Elephas maximus indicus: one gene and its partners. The protein of the gene in region 3 interacts with the protein of the main gene of each other region in a pairwise test. Links are inferred from orthologs where the notes say so. Each region holds a gene or a part of one and is shown on either strand. Other genes may lie near its edges.

Region 1 (7,892 bases), on a different chromosome or scaffold from region 3:
GAATGCTCAGGTTTAGGGGAAGATGCAATCAGGTTTGTGATCTGCAATTTGACTCTGGCTTCTTGAATAAGAGCTAAAGGTTTCTGACTTGCATAACTGGATGGAAGGAGGTATCATTCAGGAGGAAATCTGCCCCAGAAAAGTCTTTAAAGCCCAAAGAGGACTTAACTGCATTTCACTTTGCCTGAAACTGTGTTAACCCAGTTTGATCCCCTATCTTACCTATGAAATGGGGCTCCAACAGATTTGTTTTTTTTGCTACTTCCCGAAATCAAATTGATTTTTAAAAGTACAAGGATTTTCCAACATAGAAGATACTTCAAAGATTCTGCCACAGTTTTGAAATCGATTACAAATGAGTTCCAAAACTGGTTTGAGCAATGGGACAACATTATGGAATGAGTGTGTCATTTCCCATTACAGCTACTTCAATGAGGTTAACATGCATTTGCTCCTGTTAAATATTTTAAAGAAACCTTAACCGTTAAGAGTACTCTTCCTTATGTGATATTAAACTAAAAGATGAGAACATCAGGCATTACCATAACTATTCTGCTTTCATGTTCGTGTTTCAGTGTTTCAACATTTTGAGATGTATATAGGAAACTTAGCATTTTGTAGAAAACAAAAGGTATGATTGAAAAAATAACATATAATCTCTTGACCTTAACATATAAACATTTTACTATTTCTATCCGGTCCTCTTTACTGTCCATTGCGTTCATTCTAATGTAAAAAAAAAAAAAAATAACACACCTGTATGTATACAAACTATATACAGAATAAAATTATTACCATTACCGATGCTTCAATATTCACTTTCCCTGGTTTCATTTTTTAATTTGCAACCTAATGGCGCTTTCATAGTAGGCATACTGCTGCCTTTAAGTCTAGAAACATAGAAACTTCAAATCTGACTAACCCAAGGAAAAAGAGATGAAAGAGATTTCCTCCTTTAAAATCAACATAACACATCTCACCTTAGTACTGAGGTATTGCACTAATTCTGACAGGATGGGCTCCAAGGCCATCTGCTTGCATTAGGCCCTCTTTTTAGTGTTTCATTAACACTCAACTGCAGTTACCAGGATGTTACCACTTCTTGTACGCAGCAGAATTCTATTTTTTTTTCCCATGCTGATTTTATCTCAAGGCATCAAAAGACAAGACTGTGATCTGAGGCCAACATGAAAAATGTCATCTCCACAAATGAGGAGAAAAGTCAAGGGATTTTTTTTTTTTAATCAGGTTTTAAGCCTATGAGCCAATATTATTTTGTAAACCTAAATTGTCTCCACGCTAGAGATTATGGTAAAAAATGTGGTCCTTGGAAACAAGGGCTGGACAGCTTTAAATGTTCACCTTTTTCTTTTTTCAGGTCTTAAAAAAAAAACGGAATCAGACTATAGCTATATCTGAGCATAGCTAAGGCTGGGTATGGGCAGTACCAAGGAAGATACAGCGAAAAGCCTTCAAGGTTCCCAATCTGACCCAGCCGACTTTCCTGTCTTCCTCAGATGGAGTGATCTGTGTCTCCAGAGCTGGAATGTGGGGGAGGGAAAGTCATAATGGCCTCTGCCTTCTCCCTTCCCCAAGCCCCAAACTGATACCGCAAACCACTTCCTACTGGGGATTGAAGATCATAAGCTTTAAGGGACAATGGAACTCAATGGAGGCTTCAGAAAGATGGAGGCAGTCAGAAGAGATTGGGGTAGGGAGTGAGGGCGAGGGGATGCGCTCAGACTGGGATGGGTGAGTAGGGACGCCAAGGCCAGGGACTTCGGCAGCATGAGAAGGCCTGGTCTGCATATTCCAAGACAACCCTGCCACAGCCCTTTGAGAAGCTTGCGGGGCTCCTGTGAAAACCCAGGGCATCTATGCACCCAGTGCCTATCACACTCGCCCAAATCTGGGGCTTTTCCTGCCCTTAAAAAACCACAACCCCTCACAGAAAGCAGCAATACATTTATGGGCTTTGAAAGGGCCGCCGGGGCAAGTGTGTGTTCTGCAAACGCGGAGGTGGAGGGGAGGGAAAAAGAGACCCCCCAATTCGAGGAACTTTAATTAAACCCGGCACAGTGAGGGGCAAAATAAGACCTATAAGCCTCGGGGATAAAAGAGGCAAGGGGCAGGGTCCAGCGGCGCCCCCCCGTCTCGGGGGACGACGACCCTGGGCGCGGCCGCCGGGCGGGGGAGGGGGAGAGGCCGCCCAGCTGCCCGGCGCTGGAGCGGGGACGCTGCGGGGCCTGGGCGCGGGGTGCGGGGCGCTGGAACGGGGACGCTGCGGGGCGTGGGGCGCTGGAGCGGGGACGCTGCGGGGCCTGGGCTCGGGGCGCGGGGCGCTGGAACGGGGACGCTGCGGGGCCTGGGCGCGGGGTGCGGGGCGCTGGAGCGGGGACGCTGCGGGGCGCGGGGCGCTGAAGCGGGGACGCTGCGGGGCCTGGGCGCGGGGTGCGGGGCGCGGAGCGCTGGAACGGGGACGCTTAGGGGCCTGGGCGCGGGGTGCGGGGCGCTGGAGCGGGGACGCTGCGGGGCCTGGGCGCGGGGCCTGGGCGCGGGGCGCGGCCCGGGAGCGCGGCCTGGGGAGGAGGCAGAAGCTGGCCTAGGCCTCGGGGGCCCGACACACCCACCGCAGCCGCCGCGGCCCCGCTTACCTGCTCCTCCTCCGGGGTCAGCTCCGGCGCCATGTCGGGCCGGGGCGCGGTCGCGGGCTCCATCCCGCCGCCGCCCCGCGGACACAGTCGCCCGGGAGCCGGGGAGCCCGGACTGTGGCCTCCGCTTCCGCGTCCCGCGCTCAGCAGCCCGAGGCCGGCTCGCGCATGGTCCGGCCGGCGGGGCCCGGCGCCCGCGGCGGCCGCAGACCCGCTCCCGTCTGCGCACAAAACCCTCTCCGAACTGCGGCTCCCTTCTGGGCGGAAATCCTTTTTTATTTTCTTCTCTCTTTCCCTCACACTCTCCCTCCTCTCCCGGAAAAAAAAAAAAAATGCAGGCGAGGAGCTAACAGCCAACCGGGATTAGAAACGGAGCTATTAAATAAAGAAGTTTTCAAGGCCGGAGCCAAAGGACGGCGTGGAAACTTCCCGAAAGCCACCGGCCTTCTCGGTTCTCCGGCGCCCGCAGACGTGACGGAGCCTCCAGGCCGCCGCTCGGGCCGTGCTCGGGCTGCGGGCCCCGGCGACCTGCGCGGCCGCCTCTCCGCCTCGTTCCTCAAAAGCGGCGGCGGGGAGAGGGAGGGAAGGAGGGAGGGAACGAGGAGAAGGCGCCCCCCTGCCGGCTCAGGGCCAAAGCTGCGGCCGCCCAAGCCCTCCGCGGCTCCATTGAGAAACTGAGCGTCTCATTCACAAACAGGCGGCGAGGAGGGCCCGGCAGAGCGAGGACGTCGTCCGGGAGGGGGAGACAGAGAGGGGCCCGCGGGGCGGGGGGCACAGGGGAGGGGAGAGGAGGGGGAGACGGAGAGGGGCCCTGGGGGGCGGAGCGGGCGGGGGGAAGAGGAAGAGGAGACAGAGAGGGGCCCCCGGAGGGGGTACAGGGGAGGAGAGAGGAGGGGGAGACGGAGAGGGGCCCTCGGGGGGGATACAGGGGAGGGGAGAGGAGGGGGAGACGGAGAGGGGCCCTCGGGGGGGGTACAGGGGAGGAGAGAGGAGGGGGAGACGGAGAGGGGCCCTGGGGGGGGATACAGGGGAGGGGAGAGGAAGGGGAGACGGAGAGGGGCCTTCGGGGGGGGTACAGGGGAGGAGAGAGGAGGGGGAGACGGAGAGGGGCCCCCAGAGGGCGGTACAGGGGAGGAGAGAGGAGCCCGCGGGGTGGGGGAGACGGAGGAGGGGTGGCTGCGGAGCTGTACAGAAGGAGACTCCGGGCTGCAGGAGGGAGAAAAGGGAAGAAAAGAGTGTGGTTTTCCTAAGAGGTTAAACTAAGCTCCTTGTAGGAAGAAGAGTTTGAAAACTGTCTGAAGGGCAAATCGGCTAGGTTTGATTTGCGGCAACCACCTATATGTTGAGGGGACACAATGCTCGTCTGTTTCCATGCCACTTGCTGACTAAAAGCTCCTGGAAAGGTTGCCTGCGAGGTCTAGGATGCTCAGGTGGAAAGGAGAGGCAGCTAATCGCGGCTCCATCTCGCTCTCTCTCCTTGCCAGCTGTATCCTGTAATCCATCAGCAGTTTAGCTAATTTTAGTCCTTCGCAAAAACAACATCCGATTGTGAACCTCATTCAGGAATCACGAAGCCTTTGAAAGCCTTTGATTTGCACTCAGGCAAGCGCAGCAAAGAGGTTGGGGGTTTTACTGGGTTCAAGATACACAGTTTTGGGATCAGTTGGGGAGACACAGGGAAGACAGGGCTGAGTCTGGGATGTTTTTGCATCATTTCAGGCCAAAGATAAATATTCCAAAAGCAGTCCAATGAACAAGCGAGTGCCGCAGTTGGTCCCAAGGCTTGAAACCACCCAGCACTGCTATCTCAGGTCTTGGGTCTCTGGAGCCCAATGAGAGAGACCCAAAGGGGAGGGATCTTCAGACAACTGAGGGTGCTCTTAGTTCTGATGCTCATTCTAGTACAGTACTTTAAAAGCAACCCCTGACTTCCCTTCATTTCTGCAATTATGCAGAAGGCCTTCAGGTTGCCCTGGGTGAACTGCGAATCAGTGAGAAAAGAAACCCCTGGTGCTTGGATCCGGTATTTTATCCTTTTTTTTAATCAATAAAGCTGACTCTGGTTGAGTTCATCACCACCTGCAGGAGTTACAGTTTCAGTATTGCAAACAGACTCTCATTTAGAAGCCAGTTTATTGAATAAAGTATACTTATATGCTAAGCATTGGGTTATGCACTGGGGTTGCAACAATGAAGATGACCATGTTCTCTTCCATATACATGTAAGGGTATGGAATGACCCCTGACCTATATATCACCAGTGAAAAAAAGCAAGATTTGGAACAGTGTGCATAATATGCTGTCATGTGTATAAAGAAAAAAATGAATATTTATAAACTTATTTATACATAGAAGAGCTTTGGAAGGATACAACACAAATAGTGGTTGCCTCCCAAGGGGGAACTGGTTGTCTGGGAAACATAAGTGAGAAGGAGACTCATCCCTCTATAGTCTTTTGTACAATTTTTTTTTTTTTACTTTTTATTGAAGCATAACATACCTACCAAAAAGTGCAAATATAATAAATATATACCTTGATAAATTTTCATGAACTGAACACACCCCTGTAATCAGCACCCAGATCAAGAAATAGAATGTTTTCAATTTGCCAAAGTCCTCCTCATCCCCCCAACCCTCCTCAAAGGTAACCACCATCTTGGTTTCTAAAAGCATAGAATAGTTTGACGTGTGTGTATTTTAAATACAAAATTTTAAGACTTTGAATGTGGATGAATAATCTTTAAAAAAAAAAAATTTTTTTTTTTTTTTTAATTTTAACTTAAGGAAATACAGTTTTTCTCCTTAAGTAGGCAAGCAAATGGCTCTAGAACTAAGCTGGAGTAAGAAATGGCAGAACCTGAGTAGTGCAAACCACTGAGTGGGGTACAGGAAAGGATAGGGAATGTCTCAAAGTATAACTGACACTTTTACATATTTTTGCCCAATGATCGATCCTCAGGACACCAAGGGAGAGTGACTTATCCAAAAGCACACAGCTAATTAATTAGTATTGAGCTAGAACTTGAACCCAGGCATTCTCTTAGCCCAAGGATCAGTAAGGAGAACTAATAAAGGGAGAGGTTTATTGAGTAAGCCAGGAGAGAGAACTCAAGTGTTTTCAGAGGCACAGCTGTGTGTGGGCGTGTGGGTGTGTAAGGGAACAATTTTCCGGAACTGTTGCCTATCACAGCCCTAACAGGACAATGCTTGGAAGTTTCTGAGCAAAGACATGGGTAACAAAACTAAGTCCAAGGCAAAACTGGCTGGCTGGATCCACTCTGAGAGACAAATTTTAGGAGAACCAGAGAACAAAGGAAGCCCCCTGGCTTGCCCTTAACTGCAGTCTGGAGCCAATGAAATCCAGCATGGTACTGTCATCCTACTCAGTGGAATCTTAGAGCCTGAAGCAGTTTGTAGTAACCCCAACCGTTTTTTTTAGTTTGTAGTGGAAACAACAACATAATGCTCCATCAATAGGAAGCCTCAGTAAGTTAGAGCACGTGTGTACACTGAAATAAGTTGACACTGAATGTGTCTTTACCATCTGCCAAACGCTCTTCTAAATGACTTTCAACCCTTTCATCTCACCATAACAGTTTGATATAGGTGAAATCATGATCCTAATTTTACCAAAAATAAATTAGGTAGTTCCACACGCACTGACAGGGCCTCCTTGCATTTTTGAATGCTTAGCTGCAGACAATACATCTTTATTAAATGAACGTGAACAGTAAGGGCCACAATCCGAAAGTGGAAAATAAACTACAAAGACGGAACCCCAGGGTGGAGAGGTATCATGAGTTGTACTTTTGTTTTTGCATTTTCTTTGTTTCTTTTTTTTGCTTTTAAAGCACAGGTTTCAGGTCTCTGTCTAGAAAGTTTATCCTCCCCTTCCCCCCACCTCTTTCACTAGAAAAGTCTGACTCATCCTTAAGGTCTCAGCTCAAAAGTCACTTCCTCAGCAAGATCTTCCTTGACTACTCACCAAGCTGAATTAGGCCCCCTGTTACTCTCGCTTGCAGCACCCTCTTGTTTTTATAAGAGGATCAGAATTTATAACTGTGTACTTGTTTCTACGTCCACCAGCTTAGTGTCTGTCTGCCTTACGAGACTGTAAGCTCTAGGAAGGCAAGGACCACATAGTTGTGTTGGCCCCTGTACCTCAGTGTTTAGAGCCTAGCACATAAGAGGCAGGCACTTAAAAAATGTGTTGAATCAATGAAGACAGCCACTTAACGCATAGGCCTCTATCTTACCATGAGACCTCCTCTCGCTGCCTTTTTTGTATTTGTTCAGCACTAAGAATAAAGTGTGGAAGAATAAAGATACTTCCACACTGTGACTGTGGTGATTTTATAACCTTTCCTCCAAAACACTGTCACTTCTAAAACCCAAAGCTTCTCTCAGGCGTTGCTACAAAATATATACTGCCTGTGAAACAGATGTGTGTTGTACTGTAGACATGCATTGGCTATAAAAGATTCCCCCCGCCCAAAACAGAAATTCTTACTGCCATTTTTCTAAAAGAGAAACAGCAAATAAGGTCATACTGCTAATCACCGTCTAGGGTGAGAAATTTTTTTGTTTACTCATAGGCCAAATCTATCATCACTAGGATGGCTGAAGGTGAACTCTGCAGGGAAGGTGGAAAATCTTAACCCCACAGAGATTATAATTCCCCCATTATCCAATATTCTAGGGAACATTCTTATTACTAGTCTCTGCTTCAATTTATTTTTTAAATATGTAATCTGGTTCTTTGCTCACACAAAAACAATTTTCTCATCTGACACCCCTATCCACCACTCTCAGATCACAGGTTAATATCGCTCACTGTTGTACATAACTTCTGTACCTGGTAGCTGTGTCTAGAATGTACCTAACACTCTGAATTATACTTATTTGCTTCCTTGTGAGTAAAAATGGCATGGAGGCTGCGTCTGACCTTCTCTAACTTCAGTAGGGTGGGAGAGAATCACCACCAGCCTGAGGCAGATTCCTATGAAGCTGAGGTCAGACATACCTCCTCTCTCCAACTTTTTTACCAATTCTGACACAAACCAACCCTCCCACTGTATTCTCTACTTCTCTGTTGGGCTCAATAATTCATTGCAATGGCCCTACAGAACTCACAGACAACACTCATGATTATGGGGTTTATCAGGGAAGTAATAGGTTACAATTCAGGATCAAAAATGACCGAGGATACAGTTCTTCAATCAGGACATCTTCTCAGCCGTG
Region 2 (7,917 bases), on a different chromosome or scaffold from region 3:
CCACTGGAACTGGTGGAGGGAGATGAAAACAGTCAAGTGGAAAATGGCAAGCTAGTTGAGATAATATAATCGATAGAAATGGCTCTTGGGATTAAAAAGCTACTGAAAAGACCACAAGATTGAAAAATAGGGCAATGAAGCCACTTCCGGAGGGTTCTTACCCTGAGAGAGAAAACAGGCTAAAAAAAATAGCTAAAGACAGGAGCAGTGTAAAAGTACCGGAATGCATGTTATATAAGCCAGCTGACTGGAGAGAGCTGAATTCTTGAGGCATAAGGTAGTGGAATCTGTGTGTTTAAACCAGAGTCCCAGACGATACCAGCACAGGTGGCCCTTAAAGGCACAATTGAGGAACACTGGTCTAGGCAGTTGAGATATGGAATGCTGTGGTCTAGAAGAGGATTTGGGTATTTAGAAATTCTTGCTCAGGAGTTGTGGGCTTAACTAATTGACCGTACGTGACCCTCTGAACCAACCAGACGAAGAAAATGCCCCAGGCAGAACACACGAAGGCCGATTCTGCAGAAGCCCAGGCAGTCAGAAGCGGTGTTTCCTGTTTGGTCACCACCAGGGAGCTAGAAATTATTATATAATCACTGCCCAAGCTCAAAGACAAAGATATCAGTTCTTTCACAAACGTCTGTCATTAGGTAAGATCTTCATTCACCTGTTAAGTGAAACTAATTATAAGGATTCTACTTTTAACGTAGAGCAATGTTTTGTCACCCACTGTAGAACAGAAGTCTTTCAGCTTACAGCAAGAAAAAAGAATTAGTCATTTGTATCTGCCAATTCATCCATGACTGCTTGTCTTACAAACGAAGACTGGCCTTCGCTGCTTAGTCCCAGTATTGTTCTTTGGACATGGGGATCTGAGAAAATAGAAACGGAAAACAATGCAGAGAGCTATGAATGCTTATTTTTTTTATAGCTGCTATTACCACAATATTTGAAGATGGTAAACTTGTGAGAAATTCTAAGGATCTGAAAATAACGTCAGTTTCAGAACAGAAATGATTTGAAAATTGTCCTAAGTCAGATTTAAAGCTACCAGATATATTAATTCTGATTTCTGTCCAAAGATTTTCATATCTCCTTCACTAACGCAGAATAGAAAGAAAACGTTCTGGAGTGACATCATCAGAGGCTTTCTCCCCCCGCCCCCCCACCTCTTTTCTGAAGTGGGAGGAGTTGTATTTGTTTACGGGATTTAAAATACAGATTTAAAACTGTTTTGACTGAGCACCTGACTCTCTCGATGTATTTTAGGTACGATAATTGTTACATAAATTTAGAGGTAAGATAATTTCCTAGAAGAACTACTGTCTGTGCTTTCCAAACATTTTCTTTTTAAGACCAAAACTGTTTGCAATGGATGTGGGAAAACCACCCTTTAATCCATTTAGGCAATCAGCTCAAGGTAAAGCAGTCATTAAAAATTAACCTCTAATGTTTGCATCTTTAACTAGATCATTTCCTGAAAATAAATACAGCGGCAGGCAGATTAATATGATATGCTCAAATTTTCTATATAGATGGTCTATTTCTCATTAGACCAAAATATAAATAATAAGGTTTACTACTTATAACTGACACACAAATTATTGGGTTTTTTTTTTTTTTAAGTTAAAACTAAGTTTACCCACGTCTTGAAAAATGCCAACAAAACAATAAACTAAGCAACATAGATAACTTCTACAGTTAACTTCCGCCGGATTGTCTTTTTGCAGCCTGAAGATCTGATAGAAAAAAGCTGTGGAACTTTTTAACTTCTGTGTCAATTACATTTAAAACGCTATTATTGTAAGCCACGAGAAGTAAAACAGTAACGGTTCCATTCTTTTACTTAGGCTAAAGGCGGAAATTTCCTAAAATAAAGGAAGGTATTACAACGGACGTGGGGGCAAATTTCTTAGGTTAAGTTTCACTTAGCTAAAAAGTCCTCAAGGGATACGAACTGAAGCGCCAACTGTTGGTTTTACGCTAACATCCCCATAGTAATTACTGACCTTTTTCAGGAATATTTCTGCTTTAATTACAAAATCAACAGCCAGAACCTACCCTGAGCCCTCACCTTGCTGTCTCCCCTCCCCTCTGTTCCCTTTCCTTTGCCCCCTCCCTAGACCCCAAGGTGAAGTTCACCTGCCAAGAACGACTGGCCGTGGCAAAAGGAGGTAAAGAAGAAAAACGCTTTTTAAATTAAGAGGTTTCAGCTGCTGGACTTAGTCCAAGTTCTGTTCAGCCTAGAAACGAAAGTAGGAAGCAACAGAGGTTTAGGTTTGCGATGATGTCAGCCATTTTAGGCACAATGTTTATTCCGGAGAGGAAGTGCCAAACTCGGTTGTTGTTTTGCATGTCGCTGCTGGTCTACAGGTCGAGCCACGTCCCGGCCCCACGCACCCACCCCTGGCTGCACAAATGACAGCGAACTCGGCACCATTCTTCCAGCCTCCTCTCCCGGCCTCCCAAGCTCCCGGACCCGCGTCAGGCAGGGCTTCCTTCGCACGCACTTCCTTACAAAGAAAGAAGCTGCGGCCGCAGAAGAAAGGGAGCAGCCCGAGAAGAAGGAGCGCTCCGGGACCCTCCTCGGAGCTCCTGCCCCGCGCCCGCGCGCCCTCTGCGCGGCTGCCCCGCGCTGCACTACCCGGCCGGGCCGAGACGCCCAGGTCCCCGCGCCTTCCCGCGCCCAGCCCGGACCCCGGCCCTCGGACCTTGCAGTCCACCGCGACGGCGTCGGGGGGGATGATGAGCGCCTCCTCGCCGTTCTTGGACTCGTCCTTCTTGGCCTCCTTCTGGGCCAGAGCCGAGTTGAACGTCACCTTAACCATGGCGCGGCCTGGAGCGCCCTCGGAGGGCGGCGGCGGGCTGGAGACGCGGGCTGCGGGCTCCCGGCTGCGTGTTCAGCCTCCTCGGCCGGGCTACGGGTGCGGCTCCGCGGCGGCTGAGGAAGAGCAAGCGGCTCGAGAGGCGCCGGAGCGGCGACTGCAGCACAGCTGTTGCAGCCTCCCAGCTCGGGCGCGGGGCGGGGGCGGGGCGAGGGGCGGGGGCGGGCCCGGCGGGGCGGGGCCGGCGCTGCGCCCGACCCTATCCTCGACCCCGGGTGCGGGGGGCGCGGGAAAGGGAAGGTCGTCTCTCTGGGCTGCCTGGATTTTCCAGTTCTGAGTTAGCTTCCGCCCAGTTTACCTCTGGGCCTAGGGTTGCAGGTTAGTAGCAAAACCAGGTGAACTTTCCTGGGTTCGCCGCGTTAAACCGATTAACCTCTGGCAGCACCAGGCCGGCCTTTCTTTGCCCGCTGACCCTGCCATGACCCTAAAGGTCGTGGAGTTTTTGTGCGTCCGCACCTCCAATGTCTCACTTATGGACCCAACTCAGTGAGGCACAGAATTGTTTAAAGCGCCTGCTGCATCCTTGCCATCTGACCTCTTTATCTTCCATGGACCTCACCCAAGGGCGTTACCTGACCCAGTCTTGCCTTTTTTCCCACTCCCTCCGGAGGTCGATGCCTGCCCTGCCTAATCCCAGAGCAGTTCTGAGGAAGTCTTTGCATCTGTTTGGGTTTCAAACATTTCATACTCTCAAAATATTCCACTCGTGCAGGCTTGGACAAAACGTACATGCACGCCAGGCTTTGTGATTCAAGGCAACGTACTTGGTGATGATTCATAATTAGTTTTCTTGAAAATGAAAAAGTCATTTAAGGTTAAGGCAAAAATTATCATTTGAAGAGATTTCATCAACAGCCAATATGAAAGAGGACACTGGCTGGCACTGATAATGGGTTTATGACAGTGTCTTGTCAACTGCTGGTACTTTGGGTAAATGGTTGATCTTGTGCCCTTCTCCCCCCCACCCCCCTCAGGCCTCTAGTTCAACCAGATACGTGGGTGTACTCTAGAATGTTCTAGTATGTGTCAGCTCTGCCTTGGGTCAACCCCGAAGAAAGTAGGTTGAGTCTGAGATCTCAAAGGATTTGGCTGTGCTCAGAACGGGGTTATGGTGTCCCCTAGAATTCAGTTTAAAATGGACTCTTAGACTTTCCATAGAATGCTGTATCACAAATCTCGGGTGAACAGCCCAATATTTCAGAATCTTTCAGATTAAGGAATGACCCCAAATCATATGTTTTTTTCAAGGACCATCCTGGGCTGAGGTAGAAACCCAGTACAGACCTCAACTCAGCATAAAACCAAACCAAAACCAGGTGCAGTAGAGTTGATTCCGACTCAGCAAGTCAGCATAAGCCTTCTGAAATACCGTTCATTTGGGAAGGGGAAGAGTTGGATTCCAGTTCTGCTGAGTTCTCACACAAACTAGTCATGTGACTTGAAACAACTTATTTAAACTCCTCAGGCACCCCTTTTGTCCAAGGAGAAGCCCTCAGTGGGGTTGACTATGAATTGACATTTGATAATACAAATGGCATCTAATTGTTCCAGACCACCTAATTTCAGAGGTTTCAAGAGACAACTGAAGACTGAGGAATTGTGGAAACAAGAGCTTATACATATATGTATAAATGGTTGTGTATATATATGGAAACCCTAGTGGCTAGTGGTTAAGTGCTACAGCTGCTAACCAAGAGGTCGGCAGTTCGAATCCACCAGGCACTCCTTGGAAACTCTATGGGGCAGTTCTACTCTGTCCTATAGGGTCGGTATGAGTTGGAATCCACTCGACAGCAGTGGGTTGGTGGGATTTTATATATATATATATGTATCGTTCCTGTTCCTGTTTCTGTTTTGATGAAATGGTGTAAAAATACTTAAGACATTTTGCACTAGCTAGAATTAGGGTTTTTTTTTTTTTTTTTTTTTTTAGAATTAGGGAAGGGGCCCTGGTAGCACAGTGGTTAAAGTGCATAAAGATTTACAGTCTTGGAAATCCTATGAGGCAGTACTACTCTGTCCTATTGGGTCGCTATGGGTTGGAATTCAACTCCATGGTAATGGGTTTAGAATTAGGGAAGAAAAGAAAAAAAAACCTTTCTGAACACCACTGTTAAACAGATTAGGAAACTGAGGCAAAGGAAGCACCAATGAATTTATGACAGAAGCAGAAATAAGTCACCTCTCACCCCCTGGCCCCTGCCCAGGGTTTCTGTTTTAACAAGTTCACAGTAAAAGAGTATTCTCAATTTTGTGGACTAGCAGCGAGCTGGTAAACAGTTATCTCCTGGTTTTGTTTCGCCATTTTATCTGTTATGTCTACAGGACTATGTAGTGCACAACAACAGGGATAATGAAGAACCTGGATCAAGACCAAACATAGCAAACCCAGTCTCATGATTTAGAAAAGCTTGCCCGTTGACCCTGGAAACTAAGGGGTGGGGGAGGAGGAGAGTCATGATTCAACAAAAGAAAGTTAAAAACATAGTCGCAAATTACCATTAAGGAGCCCGGGTGTCACAGTGGTTAAAGCGTTCAGCTGCCAACCAAAGGATGACAGTTTGAACCCACCAGCTGTCCTGCAGGAGAAGGATGTGGCAGTTGGCTTCTGCAAAGATTCAGAGCCTAGAAAACCCTATGGGCCAGTTCTGCTCTGTCCTATAGGGTCAACATGAGTCAGAATGGTCTAGATGGCAACAGATTTGGTTTGCTTTAAGTTACCGTTAATTGCTGAATGTAAAGGAAATGTTAGAAGGCTTTTGTTTTCCTTTTCCAAGTTGATTTGGAGAGAGCAAGAAAAATTTGTTTTTAATGATCCTAGAACTACCTTTCACCTGATTTCCATATTTGTTTTTCTACTTAGGAGTCGGAATCGACTCAATGGCACTGGGTTTGGTTTGGTTTTGGTACTTAGCCAGAATAGAGGATGAGATGGAGTCAGGGAACTAAATTCAAGAATCTTAGTTCATTCGGGTTTGTGTCATGTGCCTGGACAGGGTTTTTTGTTTTGTTTGTTTTCTTTTCTAGGTTCTTTACATCTCTATAATTTCTGCTCTTTCTTAAGGAAGCAGTTTTTTCTTCAGCTTAAGGTTTAGCAGGGCGACTGGAAAATATTTTTGTGAACATGGAGTTCTTGGTGAAACAGCATCACTGAATATGCTCTTTGAAATGTTCCTCTCTGGACCCGATGTGTGGCTTGAGCTGGGCATCTTGTGGCTTTGTCTCAATTTTCATAGAAGAGATGTTTCTTCTAGGTGCCACATAAAGCCTCTCTTCAGATTTAAGCGAGCATTATTTTTTTTCTCTTCTTCATAGCCTTAAAAAAAAAATCTGCTGCTGGCTGGTAATTTCGAACTGCCAGCCTTTTGGTTAGCAGCCGAGCTCTTAACCACTGCACCACTGAGGCTCCTCTTCATAGCCTTAACCAAACCAAATAATCAAACCCATTGCCCTCAAGTCAGTTCTGACTCATAGTGACCCTATAGGACAGAGTAGAACTGCCCCATAGGATTTCTAAGGAATGCCTGATGGATTTGAACTGCCAACCTTTTGGTTAGCAGCCAAGCTCTCAATCACTGCGCCACCAGGGCTCCTCTTCATAGCCTTAACCAAACCAAAAAATCAAACCTGTTGCCTTTGGGTCAGTTCTGACTCATAGCAACCCTATAGGACAGAGTAGAATTGCCCCATAGGGTTTCTAAGGAGCGCCTGGTGGATTCGAACTGTGGACCTTTTGCTTAAGCACTACGCCACCACGATTTCCTTCATAGCCTTAGGGATCCTTTATTTTTTCTTAAATTTCTTACCTCCCAAGTTTATATCACCATCTTTGTACCTCATTACCACCTGTTTTTTAAAATCATTTTGTTTTATTCCATGTTATTTTCCTTAGTGAACTGGTTAGATGAATTTTTTTCCCCCCTCAGAATCTTGGGCTATAATACACCAAAACCTTCTGGGAGGTGTTCTAAAAATGAATGCAGATCTCTTTGATTGATGTAGCATGTGGGAATTTTGTTTGTTTGTATTGTGAAAAGACCAGATGTGCTCGGCATTAGATAATTTAGTCTTCTTGTTGCCGTCTCCTGGTTTTCCTCCTCCAAAGTTTGGCTTTCTAAGCGTGTCCATGTTTAGGCTAGGTTTCTTTGTATTTAAAAGAGGGAGGGAAAAGATGAGAAAACAAAACAGAAATGACACAAAGCCCAAGTTGTCCAATAGGCAGAGCCCACCCAGAAGACCCAGGCCTAGTTTCACTTAAATCTCACCATGCCTTATAATTTCACCACTGACTGTCCGTCGTATAATATTGGAGTCTAAGAAGGACCAGGAATGGCCTGGTGAGTTTTTGTACAGGAGACATACAGGATTTTAGTTGGAGAAATCAAAAGGATTTGGATGAAGAGGATGAACAGCCAAGGTGAAGGGAACAGCAAAAAGAGGAGCACCAAAACCTGGACAGAGAAGCCTGAAAAAGGGAAAAGCAGCCTCCGTCAGGTGGAGGGTACATGCTGAGTGTTGTTGTGCGCCTTCAAGTTGATTCCGACCCTTAGTAACTGACCCTATAAGACAGAGTAGAACTGCCGCATAGGGTTCCCTCAAGTGAAATCTTTACAGGACCAGACTCCCACATCTTTCTCCCATGAAACTGATGGTGGGTTTGAACCACTGACCTCTCAGTTAGCAACCAAGCACTTAACCATTGCACCACCAAGGTTCCTTGTACACCAAGTAAAGGAGGGAAATACAGCCGGATAGGAAGGATGTAGCCATAAATCTCCTTGGGGTGTTAGAATAAGTGGTCCCCTTCAGGTTAAAGGGGACTGCCAAAATTTCCTACAAATAAAATAGCTCAAAAAAAAAAAGGCTCACTGAACTGTACATGTGAAGATTGTTGAAATGGCAAGTGTTTTGCTACCTATATGTTTACCACAATAAAAATAAATAAATACGTAAATAAAAGGCTGCACTGTACAGACGGAGAAGTCCCTGGGTGGTGCAAATGGTTAACGTTCTTGGCTGCTGCCTAAAAGGT
Region 3 (7,807 bases):
AGAGAAGGGAGAGAAGAGAGAGTGAGCACACCCTGGCCTGGTAACTGAGATACAATGAAACTCTCCTGTTAAGGCCACCCCCTCCATCTGTGCCCTGGATCATCTCTTACTTTGTTTTTGCCAGTGACCACTTTTCTGCAGATAAAATGCTTAAAGCTCCCCATTAAAAACAAACAACAAAAAAAATAATCTCTCCACCCTGACAAATTCCTTTGGCAAATACCTTCAGTAGTTCTGCCTGATCAATGATGCCCATAGTCCTCACCAGGCATTCCATAACCTCTACCTTCTGGTCCCAACTCACCTGTGTCAGAGTTCCAGCCAAACCAGATGGTGGTGTGTTCACTCTGCTTGAAATGTTTACTTCACCCCTAGAATCCTATCTACTATCAAATGCCATCTACCCACTGAAGTGTTTCTTCCTCCTTCCTTTCTCTTTCTTGGTTATAGTTATTTGTGAATTCTGCCAGTACTTTGAGCTTCCTGGACCCACATTGAAGGCTAAGTACCAGATTGCATATAGGAGCTGCCCAGTTAGAAGTCAAGTGTGGAACAGGGGAAAGAGTGGGGCAGCATTAAATGGGGGTGATGGGAAAGGACTAATGTTGGAGGGTTGCTTACAGATTCTCTTCCTCCAAGAGCTGCACCTTGTTCTGTAACTCCAGATTCTGGGCTGTGTATTTCAAGATCCTGGGGGGAATAACAGGGATATGACCTCTGTCTTCCCTTTAAAATCATTTCCAACTACCTCTGTTCCCCCCACCCTTGAGCCCTTCTTCCTTTCATACCTGCTCTCTAAACCTCCCACATACACCTTCTTCTTCCTACGACTCTCTTGAGCAGACTTTTTGTTTCGAATCTTCCTCCGTACTCGTTTGAGGGCTTGTTCCTCCTTCTGGAAGAAGATGGGGGAAGGGGCATCATCAGAGGAACACTGGACCGAAGAGTTGGAAGGCAAATGAGTTCAATCACCTGACCAGTATGCACTCGGCTTCTGTGCAGAACGCCGCTGGGAGCCAGGTGTTAACATCTCTGTTAATAAGCCCGGACCACTTTTAACAATTTTATATTTTTTTTAAATCTCCCAAGCCCACATCTGCCTCCTTATAATTTCTATCCATTGGACTGACCTAGTATCTAATCTTTGAAGCCGTGTTGAACAAACCTTCCTTAGTTATTTTAAGACATTTGACATTTCTTCAGAGTTTAAAAAAAAAAAAACCTGGACAAAAATTTTATCTCATTTTATCTACTCTCCTCAGGATGGATTCCATCCTGTTAATATCTGTTAAATATCTGGGTTCAAAACTCAATACTAAGATGTGCCCTGGCAAATACAAAAGAGAACAGGATAGTCACTCCACTTCTGAAGGCAACACCTCTACTGATGCAGCCTCCAAGTCCCATTCACTCAGTAGCCGTATCTTCCTGCTGACCTGCTGACTCACTGCACTTGCAAGAAATTTATATTTAAATTCCCTTAACCATTCTGTCAGTGAACATTGATTTCATCACAGTTGCACAATACCGGGCCTATGAAGTCACTCAATAAATATAAACGCAGGAATTTATATTTATTTTTGTTATACTGTTACTCCAACCTTACTGAATGATCTAAAGCTTAATTCTATAATTCAGCCAGAAGTGGATTACTACGAAGTCAATGAAATCTAAGTGTCAGAGACCCTCACTTGCACAAGGCTCTATAGTAATATTGTGCTGATAATTATGATTTTTTTTTCTTAATGAGAATACTGAAATTGTATGTTTCAGACCCCACAAAACCAGCATTTTGCATCCATCATATTACCTATATGCCCCAGCTTCCCATTACCAACAAATTTGCTAAATTTCCCACCTCTGTCCTTTTTTGGGAAACTCTGGTGGTGTAGTGATTAAGTGCTATGGCTGCTAACCAAAAGGTCAGCGGTTCGAATCCACCAGGCACTCCTTGGAAATTCTATGGGGTAGTTCTACTCTGTCTTATAGGATAGCTATGAGTCAGATTGACTCGACAACAGTGGGTTTGCTTTCTTGGTTGGTCCTTTTTCAAGTTACTGATAGAAAATTAACAAGATTAGCTTACTCGAGACTCATAAAACCTCCCTCCAGCTTTTGCTCTGCCAATGGGAGACTTACCTTAGTAAGAGGAAGTGTCCCAGGCAGCGAAAGCCCCTCCTTCTCCAATAGCCTCTTCTCCTCCTCTGTCAGTATCAGTTCCTCAATCTCCTGGGGTTATTGAGGGTGGGAGGGAGAAGCAGAGTTGCAAGGGGTTGTCAGAGGAATGGGGAATCCTGCCCCCATTTGCGCAATGTAGGAATAATCCTCCTGTTAGTCAAGTACCTGCTCTGCAGGCTCCTTCACCTGCAGGGGAGTCATCTGGGCCACCTTCCCACAGCTCCCACTGTCTGCAAAAGAAAAAGTATGAATAGCCAGACCCATGAGCACTTTCCTCCCCATAAACCTCAAATATTTCAGACTCACCTGTATCTACGGAGACATGTTCCTGTGGGAGAGAGTAGTTGTGATCATGACTGACAGGACAGGGATTGAAGGAGCTGAGAGCCTTCAACGATGCTGGGGGACTTAGCAGGGAACTCAGGAAATCCTCCACATCCCAATCACTCAGTACCTGCACATGGTTCAATAAACAGGCTTTGACCTATCACCACCATCCCATGCCTCATGGACGCCCCCAGCCCCGTGCCTCACCTACTCAGAACTTCCACTCACCTCGGAGAGCGGCAGCTCCCAGTCCAGCGGAGCCTCCAGGGCCTCCTCCGGCGCCACCCCCAAATCTCCGCTTTCCTCTAGCAGAAAACCCAGCAGGTCTTGGTCGTTGGGACCCAGTGCCAGCTCCATACTACAGACAAGAATGGACAGAAACCCGGGGATTCACCCCGCCACCCAGCTCCAACCCCCGAATTTCAGGCACGAACCACAGCCCAGTTGTTTGTTGGTCTCGGGTCCCTCTTCGCCGCACTTTGCCTTTAGCTGTCACTCTCACGCGGACCCGCCTCCCAGATCCAGTCTCTGCCGCTTCCAACACAACGGAAGTAATACATCTCGCCACCATGGCACTCTGGGACATGGAGTTCCCTCCAACTCGGAAGTGGCCTGGGTGCTGCGCCACGTCCCAGGAGCTATGCAAATAGTGGGGACGTCCCGTCAGCCTCCGCACACCCTGAGGGCGGGAATTCGGGTGATCCGGCTCCGCCTTCGCCTCGAGCGAAAAAAGGAAGGATTCCAGACTAAAAGGGAACTCGAGCACAGTTCGGGCGTTTCCTCTGGATTGTGCGCGCCCTTGCTTCCTGCCGGGGAGGGGCTGCCAGTCTTCGGCCGGCTGTCGAGCATCGAGAGCTGGGGCCAGAGCAGCTTCCTGCAGTCCCGGCAACCATAGAGCGCGGGCCCAGGGCGCCGCCCGCGGGTGGGGGACGTTCCGGGGACGGAAGTGGCCGAGAGAGAGCCTGTCGGCGGGAGGGCGAGGCCAGAGCCCCAGAGCGACCGGGAGAACGACCGGGCTAGCGGGCCGGCGGGCGGGGCACAGAGCCGGGCAGCTCAGGTAGGCCGGACCGGGCCGAGCTAGAGCCCCGGGGTGGGGCCGCAAGGCCCGGCCCGGGAGGCGGGCGGGCGGGGCCGCTGGCAGTCCTGCGTCTGTTTCGGGTCCTTTTGGAGAGGTCAGGGTCCAATATATCTCGGCTTGGTCTCGGAGCTCAGTAGGCCGTTTTGCGGGAGCCAGGCTTTTCCTAGGCGCAGTCCTTTGCCTGCGGTGGGCTTTAGGGAAGGTGAGGAGTGACCACAGTGAGGCGCAGGGCGGTAATAGGTTTTGAGGTTAGCTGATAGTGGATATGTGAGTAGGAACGCTTTGCTAAGTTTGGGATTAGATGAGATTGGGTGGTGGATTTAACGTTAGCTTTAAGAGTTATAAAGCCAGGGTCGAAACTTCGAGTTATTAGTGTAAATTCAGCCTATTTTATATGTAAAGTTTAGATTGAGGCCATTATTTTGTTTTCTGGGATGGACAGCCTAAATCAAAGTTAGAGTTCAGGGTCGGGTTAAAGGTCAACAACAGGAATTAGGTTAGACGCCCATTTTAGGGATTACAGAAGTTGGCAAGGTCAATATTAGGGATACATAATGATGGGGTGGGTTAGGAATAAAAATACAAGTGAATATTAGTTTTAAGACTCAGCATTTAGAGTTAAGGTCAGGGAGTTTGATGTTAACGGTAAAGTCAGGTCAGCATTTAGGATCAGGCATTGAATATGGTTCTCTGCTAGGAAAGAGACGACTGTCAAAGCCAGTATTGGCAATCAGGAAACTGGTTAGGGTCAGAGTTAATGTTAGGAATTAGGGGGCAGCTTTAGGGGTTATGATTGAGGTCAGGGTAGTTGATCTCAGGTAGATGAAATTTAAGAAGCTGTCACTAGGTAGATGCTCTTGCTTTGGGGGAAAGTCTTATTCCTAGGTAGTCACGGGGACTTCTTTAACCCAGAATGATGACAATCTGGGCTGGAAGTGCAGGCAACTAGGAATCCAGCTTCTCTATTCTACTCTCTAAATCCAAGTTTCTTTCTGTGGCCAGCACAAATGGAGGATTGGGGTTTCCTGGACTGTGTTGTTTACAAGGTGAGAGATAAGAAAGGGACAGGGGCCCAGGAGATGCACAATGTCTAGTCATAAGTGGAGAACTACCGAGGGGAGAAGAGACTGATGACTAAGGGGGAAGCAGACCAAGGAAATGCTCTTGTCATGGGAGAAGAGGGTGGCCGAATCTACCGAAAGTTAACTCCTACTGCTCCCTCATTCCCTAGATATTAAGCCCTCCTCTCCAGCTCTCATCCCTGGCGCTGCATTCCACACCCTTCCTGCATACCCCCTTACAAAGTACTTCCCTTGCCTTTAACTCTCCATATTCTTCATCTGCTTACCACCTATTCCCAACCTCAGTTCTGCCAGGCCTTCCCTACTTGATTCACACATCCTACCTTAATTTACCCTTATCCAAACCTGAGCTTTCCCATCATGTTAAAACACCCTTCTACCTTTTTCACCCACTCATCCATCTGCATACCATCTGCTCATCTGAGCAGCCTCCCCAACCCAACACAACTGCCACATACCCCCAGTCCCTGTGCCATCTTCCAATTCTAAGCCTCCTTTAATTTCTTGGTCCAATTGAAGATCCCCTTCCCCCACTCCCCAAACAGAAAAGAGGAAACGAGACCCAAAGAGGAAACTGGGTCTTGCTGATCCCACGCCCAGCCAGGCCACTGACCACACCCCCATTTCGCTCCCAGCCTGACCCAGCCACTGACCACAGCCCTAGCCCCTACCCAGCCTGACCCAGCCATTGGCTGCATCCCATCCCGCCCCCAGCTCCAGCTTTACTTAGCCATTGCCAATGTCCTCTCACCGTACCCACACCCCACCTAATTTAGCCACTGACGACAGCCCCATCTCTTTTCAATCCCCTGTAGCCTGACCTGGCCTCTGACCTCACTCCATCTTTTCCCTGAGTCTGACTTAGCCACTGCCCATATATTCATTCCTCTACTTCCCCTGTGCTGATCCAGTGACTTATCATATATTCATCTTTCCTGCCACCATCATTCCACCATCTCTAGCCTGATGTAGTCACTGACCACGCCCCACCTGCTCCTACCTGGCTACTAACCACATACCTGTCCCCTTTTCCTGGCAGCCTCATCCTCACATTCCCAGCTCAACCTGATTCCTCTCCCCTTTACCTAAACTCAAGCTGTCCCAGAAACTAAGTGGCTACTGATGACAGGAAGCTATGGGACCCCCACCTGACTTTAGGCCCTGGTCTCTGAGGGTTGACAGGACAGACTTGTCAAGTCCTGTCAGTTCTACTTCTTAACCTTTTTTCTAAGTGACATCTTCCTCTCCACCTTCTAACTCTGGCTTCCATATCTCTCACTTGTGCTAATATGGTATTTTTCTAACCAATCTCCAAGATAACTGTCAGAGTTATATTCTAAAATCCAGTTCTGGTCATGTTCCTTCTCTGCTCAAAAGCCTCCCTTGGCCACTTGCTGCCCTCTAGTAGGTAAAATACCTCATACTCCTCTCTAGTCCTCCCTTGCCTTTCTATCCGAACCCTAACTTCCCCACCACTGCTCCCTTGCAGGTACCCTGTGCTTCAACCAGCCTGCCTACTCACTTCCCTGAATGCTCCTCTGCGATTTCCTGCTTCTCCACCTTTGCTTATGCTATTCTCTGCCTGGAATGCTACCCTTGACTCATCTCCGGCTGGCGTAGTGGAGAGAGCTTGGGCCTTGGAGTCAGAGAAACCTGAGTTCGGATCCTGGCTCTACAACTTGTTAGCTGTGTGACTTTGGACAAGTACATTTGAACATATACTTCTTTGAGTCTCAGGTTCCTAGTCTGTAAAAATGGAGATAAGGGCACCTACCTTGCAGGGTTGTTGTAAGGATTAAACAAAATTATGTATGCAAAGCAGTTGATACCTTGTCAATAAATGATAGATCATTATTTCTTTTTTATTATCCTTGTTTTTAAAAATCGAACTTCAAATGGCACGTCTTTCAGGGAGACTTTTGGTTCCACTTCCCTCGCCTATTGGGATATCTTCTCTGCATACACGCCTCCAGGCTCTTAGCTCATCCTGCTCTCTATTAAATTCTGTGCTTAGCTGATCCGCTTTTCTCCCCTTGAGGGCAAAGGCTACGTCTTACTCAGCTTAGTTCCCAGCCACTGGATAGTGTGACCCAGGGCCTTCTCCATAACAGCCCTCAAGGAATGCTTCCTGGGTGAATGGAGAGAGAATGTATACTGAATGGAAGGAGAGATGTTGGGGTAGGGGGCTGTGTGCTGGAGATGAAGATGTATTTGTGGGCAGCTGCATGTATGGATGGGCCTACACGGGAAGATAAAGAGGCTGTAGCGGGATATGTATAGAGCTGTGAGATTGAGATAACATGTTTGTAAGGAGATACTAAGTAGGTAGCTTATTGGGAAGGAGCTCTGTGCATAGGCTGGGGTGCATTTGGGGAGGATGAGTGTGTGTGGGATAGGGGTGTAAGTGGGGAGGGGCTGTGTCGGGGGAGGTTAGGTCCAGCCCTTCAGCTGCCCAGTCCAGCCCTAAGTGAGGCTCCAGCAGCCTGAGGCCGGATATGTCAGTCTCACCCACAACTCCCCCCGCCCCGCCCGCGGTTACGGGCTCAGAGGCCAAATTTGGTAACAGACTGAGTGTTACTCCCCCAACCCTCCTACGCTCTGCTTGTCTTCAGCTTTCTCTCTCTCTCTCTGTCCCTCTCTGTAACTCCCTGTCTTCCTGCAGCCCCCTTTGTGACCATCTGCTTTGACTGTGTTTTCCACGTACCCCAAGTTCCTTCCCACCAGTACACTTAAATTCCATTCCTTGCTGGGATTTGACCTCCTGTACTCCATCACCACCCACCCCTACCCCCACCATTGCCCAACTCCTCTGGAATGCATTTCAGGAATGTCTTGAGGGAGGAGGAGTTCCCTGGGAGGGGGACACAAGATCGGGGGGCGGGGGGGGGCTGATGTTGCTGTTCCATAAAAAAATGATGGAAAGGGGAGCACAGTTGTCAGACCAGAGAATGAACAGGCTAGTTTCTCCCCACACTTCCAGGCATCCTGTTCCATGCCACTCCCACCCCCAGTGCACTGTTCAGTTCCTTCTCTTCCCCTTGCCCTTTGGAGCAATGTGGAGGCCCACTTAGGACTGGCCTGTGAGTGAGGGTAGGCATGACTCAGTCTCTTATCGGGGTCCCACCAGAGGTTTCCATGCTTG
Region 4 (7,394 bases), on a different chromosome or scaffold from region 3:
CAATCTGAATACCAATAATAAGACATCTACTCCCCGCCCCTTTCTACAGGAACTGCGTTTTTTCCTAATTAAAAGGGAGAGGAATCTCAGAAACGTTTGTCTATTGGAGGTGTAAGCTGACGACATTTAAATAGGTATGTATGATGTCCAGCTTGCAAATGAGCCTCATCAAGTGATGTGAAATCCCACCAGGAAAAGCAAATGGGTTTCGGAAAAACAGAAACTGCTTCTTCCTTAAAAGGGTAACTCACCTCTTAGTCCTGAAACTGTTCTTTTCCTCATAACACTGTCCTTATTACTGTTCTATCTCACAACTAGATCAATAAGCAACATCATGATACATGGAGAAAAGATCGAAGTTGCCAGCGATTTCATTCTCCTTGGATCCACAATCTACGCCCATGGAAGCAGCAGTCAAGAAATCAAAGGACACACTGCATTGGGTAAATCTGTTGCAAAAGACCTCTTTAAAGTGTTAAACAGCAAAGATGTCACTTTGAGGACTGAGGTGCTCCTGACTCAAGCCATGGTGTTTTCAATCGCCTCACAAGCATGTGAAAGCTAGACAATGACTAAGAAAGATAGAAGAAGAATTGACACCTTTGAGTTGTGGTGCTCGTGAAGAATATTGAATATACATACCATGGACTACCAAAAGAATGAACAAATCTGTTTTGGAAGAAGTATAGCCAGAATGCTCCTTAGAAGCGAGAACGATGAAACGTCATCTCACATACTTTGTATGCTTCATCAGGAGGGATCAGTCCCTGGAGAAGGACACCATGCTTGGTAAAGTGGAGAGTCATGGAAAAAGAAGACGATCCACAATGAGATGGACTGACACAGTGGCTGCAACAATGGGCTCAAGCATAACAACCATCATGAGGATGGCACAGGACCGGGCAGTGTTTCGTTCTGTTGTACATAGGGTCACTATGAGTCGACGACACAACAATCTTCAAAATACCATTACCAGGAAAGTACTAAAAGTAGTGATTCTTCAAAGTGTTTACCCAACGTTGTGACTCACTTGTAGACCTGTGGCCGAGTGGAAACACACACTTCTACAGAGAATGGATGAATCTAAATCTAGCACAAACATACCCAGAAGGAAAGGCATGCACACTTGTAAGGGATCTGAGAACCGAGCCAGGTAAACACAATGGAAGCAGCCGTAGTGAAAATAAAAAATAAAGTGTGGTGCTGGCAGAGAAGCAGGCGTTCTTGGCAAAGCGAGATAACAGGTTTGTGTTGTTTAGCGCTACATTTAACACAGTTTTTAAAATTTCACAACACAAGCTGGAATCCTACTTCTGGCTATTTCAGGGTAAACTTACATTAGTTTAGTCATTCACCCCAGACTTTTGAATAGATTGAATAGATTGTTTTACATCTTCTCCATGGATAGTGGAAGGAGTTAGTCACTACCAAGTAATTACCAAACCACTGAGTTTAGGAGGATGATAATACAAACTCTGAGAAGTGAAGAGGGGGTGGGGTTGGCGGTAGGGGTGGGGGTCAAGGAAATGTTGGCTGTTGATTCACTTGTAAAGATTTGGTGGGGTGAGGTAGGGTGGGGGGAAGACAAAATGCTCCTGGCAGGGTAATCACAAGGCCCCGATTCCAGAACTTAACTGCAAAGTGTGTGCCATTGTGCACGCCAGGGTGGGCTGTTCCAGGATTCGAACTCATAGATCGGGGGAAGGGCTCTGTACCGGACGCTCTTTAAGAGTCTTTACAGCGTCCAAATAAAGAATTATATCTTCACCCAGGTGTATGTGCCTCACCAGCCACGGCTGGGAAAATTCAGTCTCCACTCATTTAATCTGGGGCACATCCCGGACCTCATCCTCCACCTGGGGCGCTCTTCCACTGAGCGCGTGAGCAGTGCCGGGCCTGGGCGCTTGGAAGTTTAAGGGTAACCCCGCTCCCCCAAAGTTGAAAGAACTGCTGCATCAGGGGTGCCCCGTCTTGCCAGATCATAGGCAAACGGACGCTCACGTTCCTCTTTTTCACCTCTCCTCTCACCCTGAAAAGAAACCTTATCTGCCTGTGCGCTCAGCAGTCACCTGCGAAGAGCAGAGTGGCGTCGCTCGGCTACCACCAAAACCTCCCCGAAGGCCCAACACAGCGGAAAAAATATCCGAAACATTAAAAGCGAGGGCACCCTGCGGAAGGTGACCTGTTACCGCAGTAGTATTAGATTCTGCAGCCCCGGCCTCCGAGATGATAGGGTCAGAAGGATGGTGAGGCGCTCGGAGCACTAGACGGGAAGTTGCCATCCTCTCACTACCACGCTCGAGGGTGGCCAGGATGCTTCTGAGTCACCCTGGCGGTTCGGCGCAGGTCGTCTCGAAAAAAAAAAAAAAAATGAAGCCCCTGCAACCACCCAGGCGGAGAGGTTGGAACCACTTCCCAAGAATTGCGGGCGGCAACACCGAAGTCACATTAAGAAGCCACCTCGCCTGCTTCCGGCTCCACGGACCCATCCTCCCCCAAGTCACCGCAGCTGGGCGGCCCGGGGAGTGGTCGGGGACCGCCGCAGGGCCGGCTAGAGTGCCGCGGCGGCCTCCTACCTGTGGTGGAGAGGACGGTGCTGGCGAAGAAGAGCGCGGAGGTGAAGTCCCAGTTCCAGTTGCCGGAGGTGTTGCTGAGCACCGACACGCCGTAGCTGCTGGCCTCCAGGACCCGTGTCAAGAACTGATCCAGCTGCTCCACCGTCAGGCAGTCGTGCTCCTCCAGGAAGCGCCGCTTCGCCTTGTTCAGGTCCTGGCGCAGCAGGTCCTCGTTGGGCAGCTCCACCGACGAGAAGACCACTGCGCCGAACACCAAGTAGAGCACGTAACCGACCACCAGGAAGCCGAAGAACCAGGCCGAGCGGTGCCGCTCCACCAGGCGCACGCAGGACTTGCTGGCCAGCGACTGCAGCATCTTCCTCCCCCACGCGCCGGCGCCACAGCCGCCCGGGCCGAGAGCGCCCGGCGCCGCGCCCTGGTCGGCGCAGCCCGGCCCGCCCCGCGCGCCCGCCGGCACCACCTGCCCAGGCCCGCGCACAGCGCCCCGCCTCTGGTCCCGGCCGGCGGGGGCGGCCCCCGGCGGCACCGATCGCTGCTCGCCCTCGCCGCTCCCGCTCCCGCTCCCGCCGCCCCCTTTGTGCAGCGGCGAGTTCCCAGCGATTGGCTCGCTGCGGCGGGTTTTTTTCTTCCTTCTTTTCCTGCTTCCTTGCAATATAAAAAGCCCAGATGATGTGGCGCTGACGTCGTTAGCCAGCTCAGGTAACCCGAGAGCCGCCTGAGTCCGGGTGGTAAACTTGGCCAGGTTGTTGGTGCGGGTGGCTGGAGAGACACGGAGATGACGTCTGCCCTGCTGGCAGCCCTGGCCTGGCCTGCTGGCCTGGCCGCCCTGGGAGTGGCTCGGGGGCACCCAGACCCCCCCCGGGGCCTCTGCGGGCTGTGCGCCTTCTCCTCCCCCGGTGGGAAAACCGAAGAAGGGGGCTCAGACCCAGAACTGACAGAGCTCAGTGTGTGTGTGGAGGGAGGGGGCGACTTCTGGGAAAGGTTCCAGCTTGTCCAAAGCCCCCTGTCCGAGCCTCCACCTATTTCCCATGTGTTCCCTCCTAGTCAGAGCCACTCTTAAAAAATAGGGAGCGTTGAAATACGGCCCTTCACCCACCTTATCCAGAGCCATTATGATGGTGACAGCTTCAGAATCTAGAACCGAAAGCCACCTTCGATCATAAAGGTCTCCACCCCAACGCCCACCCAAACCCCTTGCCTAAGAAGAAACAAGCGTGAAGGGAAGTTTTAGAAAGGTCCCACTTCTGAGCTTTAGTTCATTAAAATAGGACCTTGGGTTTTACGGTGAAGAATATTCCAACGTGCCAACTGCCAGGAGCAATTGAGCTTTTCTCAGTGTGTGTGTGTATTTCTTAGCTGCCTTGGAGTCGTATCCAATGCATAGCAACTCTGTATGAACAACAGAGGGAAACACTGCCTACACCCTTGGTCCTGCCCAGTCCTGGCCCTCCTCACACTCATTGCTATATTTCATCCCATTGTTGGAGCTGCTGTGTCAATCCATCTCATTGAGGGTCTTCTTTTTCACTGACCCTCTACTTTACCAAGAATAATGTCTTTCTCCAGGGACTGGTCCCTCCTGATTAACATATGCAAAGTACGTAAGACAAAGACTTGCCATCCTCACTTCTAAGGAGTATTCTGGCTGTACTTCTTCCAAAACAGATCTGTTCATTCTTCTGGTATATTCAGTGTTCTTCACCAACACCATAATTCAAATGCATCAATTCTTCTTTGGTCTTCCTTATTCATTGTCCAGGTCTTGCATGCGTATGAGGCAATTGAAAATACCCTGGCTTGGGTCAGACACACCTTAGTCCTCAAAGTGACATCTTGGCTTTTGAACACTTTAAAGAGGTCTTTTGCAGCAGATTTGCCCAGTGCAATGCATCTTTTGATTTCTTGACTGCTGCTTCCATGGGCATTGATTGTGGATCCAAGTAAAATGAAATCCTTGACAGCTTCAGTATCTTCTGTTTGTCATGATGTTGCTTATTTATCCAGCACGAGGACTTTTGTTTTCTTTTGTTGAGGCATAATCCATACTGAAGGCTTTGATCTTCATCAGTCCTCTTCACGTTCAGTAAGCAAGGTTGTGTCATCTGTATATTGAAAGTTGTTCATGAGTCTTGCTCTCATCCTGATGCCTCGTTCTTCTTCATATAGTCCAGCTTCTCAGATTTTTTTCTCAGCATACAGATTGAATAAGTATGGTGAAAGAATACAACCCTGATGCACACCTCTCCTGTTTTAAACCACAAAGTATTTCTATATTCTGTTGGAACAACTGCTTCTTGGTCTGTGTACAGGTTCCAAATGAGCACAATTAAGTGTTCTGGAATTCCTACTCTTCACAATGTTACCCATAATTTATTATGATTCACCAAGTTGAGTGCCCTTGGGTAGTCAATAAAACACAGGTAAACATCCTTCTGGTATAATCTGCTTTCAGCCAAGATTCATCTGACATTAGCAATGATATTCCTCATTTCATATCCTTTTCTGAATCCAGCGTGAATTTCTGGCAGTTCCCTGTCAATGTACTGCTGCAGCCATTTTTTAAGTATCTTCAGCAAATTTTACTTGCATGTGATACTAATGACATTGGTCGATAATTTCTGCATTCTGTTGAATAACTGGTCTTTGTGTTTTTAAGGTGATACAAATGTTCACAAGGGTCAGTGAACTGCCATATTGTGGGTGAAAAAAAATTGTGTATCATTTCTGGAAAGGCAGTTTGGTAATATGATTCAAGAACCTTGAAAGAGTTTTTGTGCTTTGACTCAGTGATGAGTCTTAAGGAAAAAAAAAAAAAAAAAAAAACCAGAGAGACAAAGATTTATATATAAGGCTGTCCATAAAAGTTGTATACATAATAATGAATCAGGAACAACCTAAATGTTCCAAAATAAGGAAAATATTCAATAAATTAAGCTATCTCTACGGCATGGATGCCATACCAAAAAAAACCAAACCCATTGCCACAGAGTCAATTCCACCTTATAGTGACCCTATAGGACAGAGTAGAACTGCCCCATAGAGTTTCCAAGGAGCACATTTTGGTTAGCAGTTGTAGCTCTTAACCGCTACGCCAACAGGGCTGCTATTAAAAATGGGTTTGAATCACTATTACTAAAGGTATTTCAAACCATAGAAAAGGATGGAATACTACCTAACTCATTCTATGAAGCCAGCATATCCCTGATACCAAAACCAGGTAAAGACACCACAAAAAAAGAAAATTATAGACCTATATCCCTCATGAACATAGATGCAAAAATCCTCAAAAAAATTATAGCCAATAGAATTCAACAACATATCAAAAAAATAATTCACCATGACCAAGTGGGATTTATACCAGGTATGCAAGGTTGGTTCAATATTAGAAAAACCATTAATATAATCTACCATATAAATAAAGCAAAAGACAAAAACCGCATGATCTTATCAATTGGTGCAGAAAAGGCATTTGACAAAGTTCAACACCCATTCATGATAAAAGCTCTCAGCAAAATAGGAACAGAAGGAAAATTCCTTAACATAATAAAGGGCATTTATACACAGCCAACAGCCAATATCATTCTAAATGGAGAAAGCCTGAAAGCATTTCTCTTGAGAATGGGAACCAGACAAGGATGCCCTTTATCGCCACTCTTATTCAACATTGTGCTGGAGGTCCTAGCCAGAGCAATTAGGCTGGACAAAGAAATAAAGGGTATCTGGATTGGCAAGGAAGAAGTAAAATTATCTCTATTTGCAGATGACATGATCTTATACACAGAAAACCCTAAGGAATCCTCCAGAAAACTACTGAAACTAATAGAAGAGTTTGGCAGAGTCTCAGGTTACAAGATAAACATACAAAAATCACTTGGATTCCTCTACATCAACAAAAAGAACCTCGAAGAGGAAATTGCCAAATCAATACCATTCACAGTAGCCCCCAAGAAGATAAAATACTTAGGAATAAACCTTAGCAAAGATGTAAAAGACCTATACAAAGAAAACTGCAAAGTACTAGTGCAAGAAACTAAAAGGGACTTACATAAGTGGAAAAACATACCTTGCTCATGGATAGGAAGACTTAACATAGTAAAAATGTCTTCTACCAAAAGCCATCTATATATACAATGCACTTCCGATCCAAATTCCAATGACATTTTTTAATGTGATGGAGAAACAAATCAACTTCATATGGAAGGGAAAGAAGCCCCGGATAAGTAAAGCATTACCGAAAAAGAAGAAGAAAGTGGGAGGCCTCACTCTACCTGATTTTAGAACATATTTTACAGCCACAGTAGTCAAAACAGCCTGGTACTGGTACAACAACAGGCACATAGACCAATGGAACAGCGTTGAGAACCCAGATATAAATGCATCCACATATGAGCAGCTGATATTTGACAAAGCCCAATGTCAGTTAACTGGGGAAAAGATAGTCTTTTTAACAAATGGTGCTGGCATAACTGGATATCCATCTGCAAAAACATGAAACAGGACCCATACCTCACACCTTGCACAAAAACTAACTCCAAATGGATCAAAGACCGAAACATAAAGACTAAAATGATAAAGATCATGGAAGAAAAAATAGGGACAGCGTTAGGAGCCATAATACAAGGCATAAACAGAATACAAAACATTACTAAAAATGACGAAGAGAAACCAGATAACTGGGAGCTCCTAAAAATCAAACACCTATGCTCATCTAAAGACTTCACCAAAAGAGTAAAAAGACCACCTACAGACTGGGAAAAGGTTTTCAGCTATGACATCTCCGACCAGTGCCTGATCTCTAAAATCTATATGATTCTGTTA

The links.
Region 1: the proteins of CREB3 (region 3) and PTPN9 interact in a two-hybrid assay, tested with the Homo sapiens proteins (2 studies listed by BioGRID and IntAct). The two-hybrid records come from large-scale screens. The link is inferred for Elephas maximus indicus from reciprocal best matches to the Homo sapiens genes CREB3 and PTPN9.
Region 2: the proteins of CREB3 (region 3) and ITM2B interact in a two-hybrid assay, tested with the Homo sapiens proteins (2 studies listed by BioGRID and IntAct). The two-hybrid records come from large-scale screens. The link is inferred for Elephas maximus indicus from reciprocal best matches to the Homo sapiens genes CREB3 and ITM2B.
Region 4: the proteins of CREB3 (region 3) and KCNK1 interact in a two-hybrid assay, tested with the Homo sapiens proteins (2 studies listed by BioGRID and IntAct). The two-hybrid records come from large-scale screens. The link is inferred for Elephas maximus indicus from reciprocal best matches to the Homo sapiens genes CREB3 and KCNK1.

The regions. Positions count from the first base shown.
Region 1 is NC_064831.1:65,482,594-65,490,485, forward strand, and holds the start of PTPN9 (tyrosine-protein phosphatase non-receptor type 9), read right to left. Parts: upstream 3,010-7,892; 5' UTR 2,718-3,009; coding exon 2,655-2,717; intron 1-2,654. UniProt on the Homo sapiens protein: Protein-tyrosine phosphatase that could participate in the transfer of hydrophobic ligands or in functions of the Golgi apparatus.
Region 2 is NC_064832.1:30,744,442-30,752,358, forward strand, and holds the start of ITM2B (integral membrane protein 2B), read right to left. Parts: upstream 3,004-7,917; 5' UTR 2,829-3,003; coding exon 2,712-2,828; intron 2,706-2,711; exon of another isoform or gene 2,143-2,705; intron 873-2,142; exon of another isoform or gene 1-872. UniProt on the Homo sapiens protein: Plays a regulatory role in the processing of the amyloid-beta A4 precursor protein (APP) and acts as an inhibitor of the amyloid-beta peptide aggregation and fibrils deposition. Plays a role in the induction of neurite outgrowth.
Region 3 is NC_064827.1:44,514,271-44,522,077, reverse strand, and holds the start of CREB3 (cyclic AMP-responsive element-binding protein 3), read right to left. Parts: upstream 3,011-7,807; 5' UTR 2,863-3,010; coding exon 2,734-2,862; intron 2,633-2,733; coding exon 2,485-2,632; intron 2,409-2,484; coding exon 2,344-2,408; intron 2,230-2,343; coding exon 2,140-2,229; intron 896-2,139; coding exon 789-895; intron 691-788; coding exon 622-690; intron 1-621. UniProt on the Homo sapiens protein: Endoplasmic reticulum (ER)-bound sequence-specific transcription factor that directly binds DNA and activates transcription. Plays a role in the unfolded protein response (UPR), promoting cell survival versus ER stress-induced apoptotic cell death.
Region 4 is NC_064842.1:30,858,085-30,865,478, forward strand, and holds the start of KCNK1 (potassium channel subfamily K member 1), read right to left. Parts: upstream 3,013-7,394; 5' UTR 2,932-3,012; coding exon 2,577-2,931; intron 1-2,576. UniProt on the Homo sapiens protein: Ion channel that contributes to passive transmembrane potassium transport and to the regulation of the resting membrane potential in brain astrocytes, but also in kidney and in other tissues.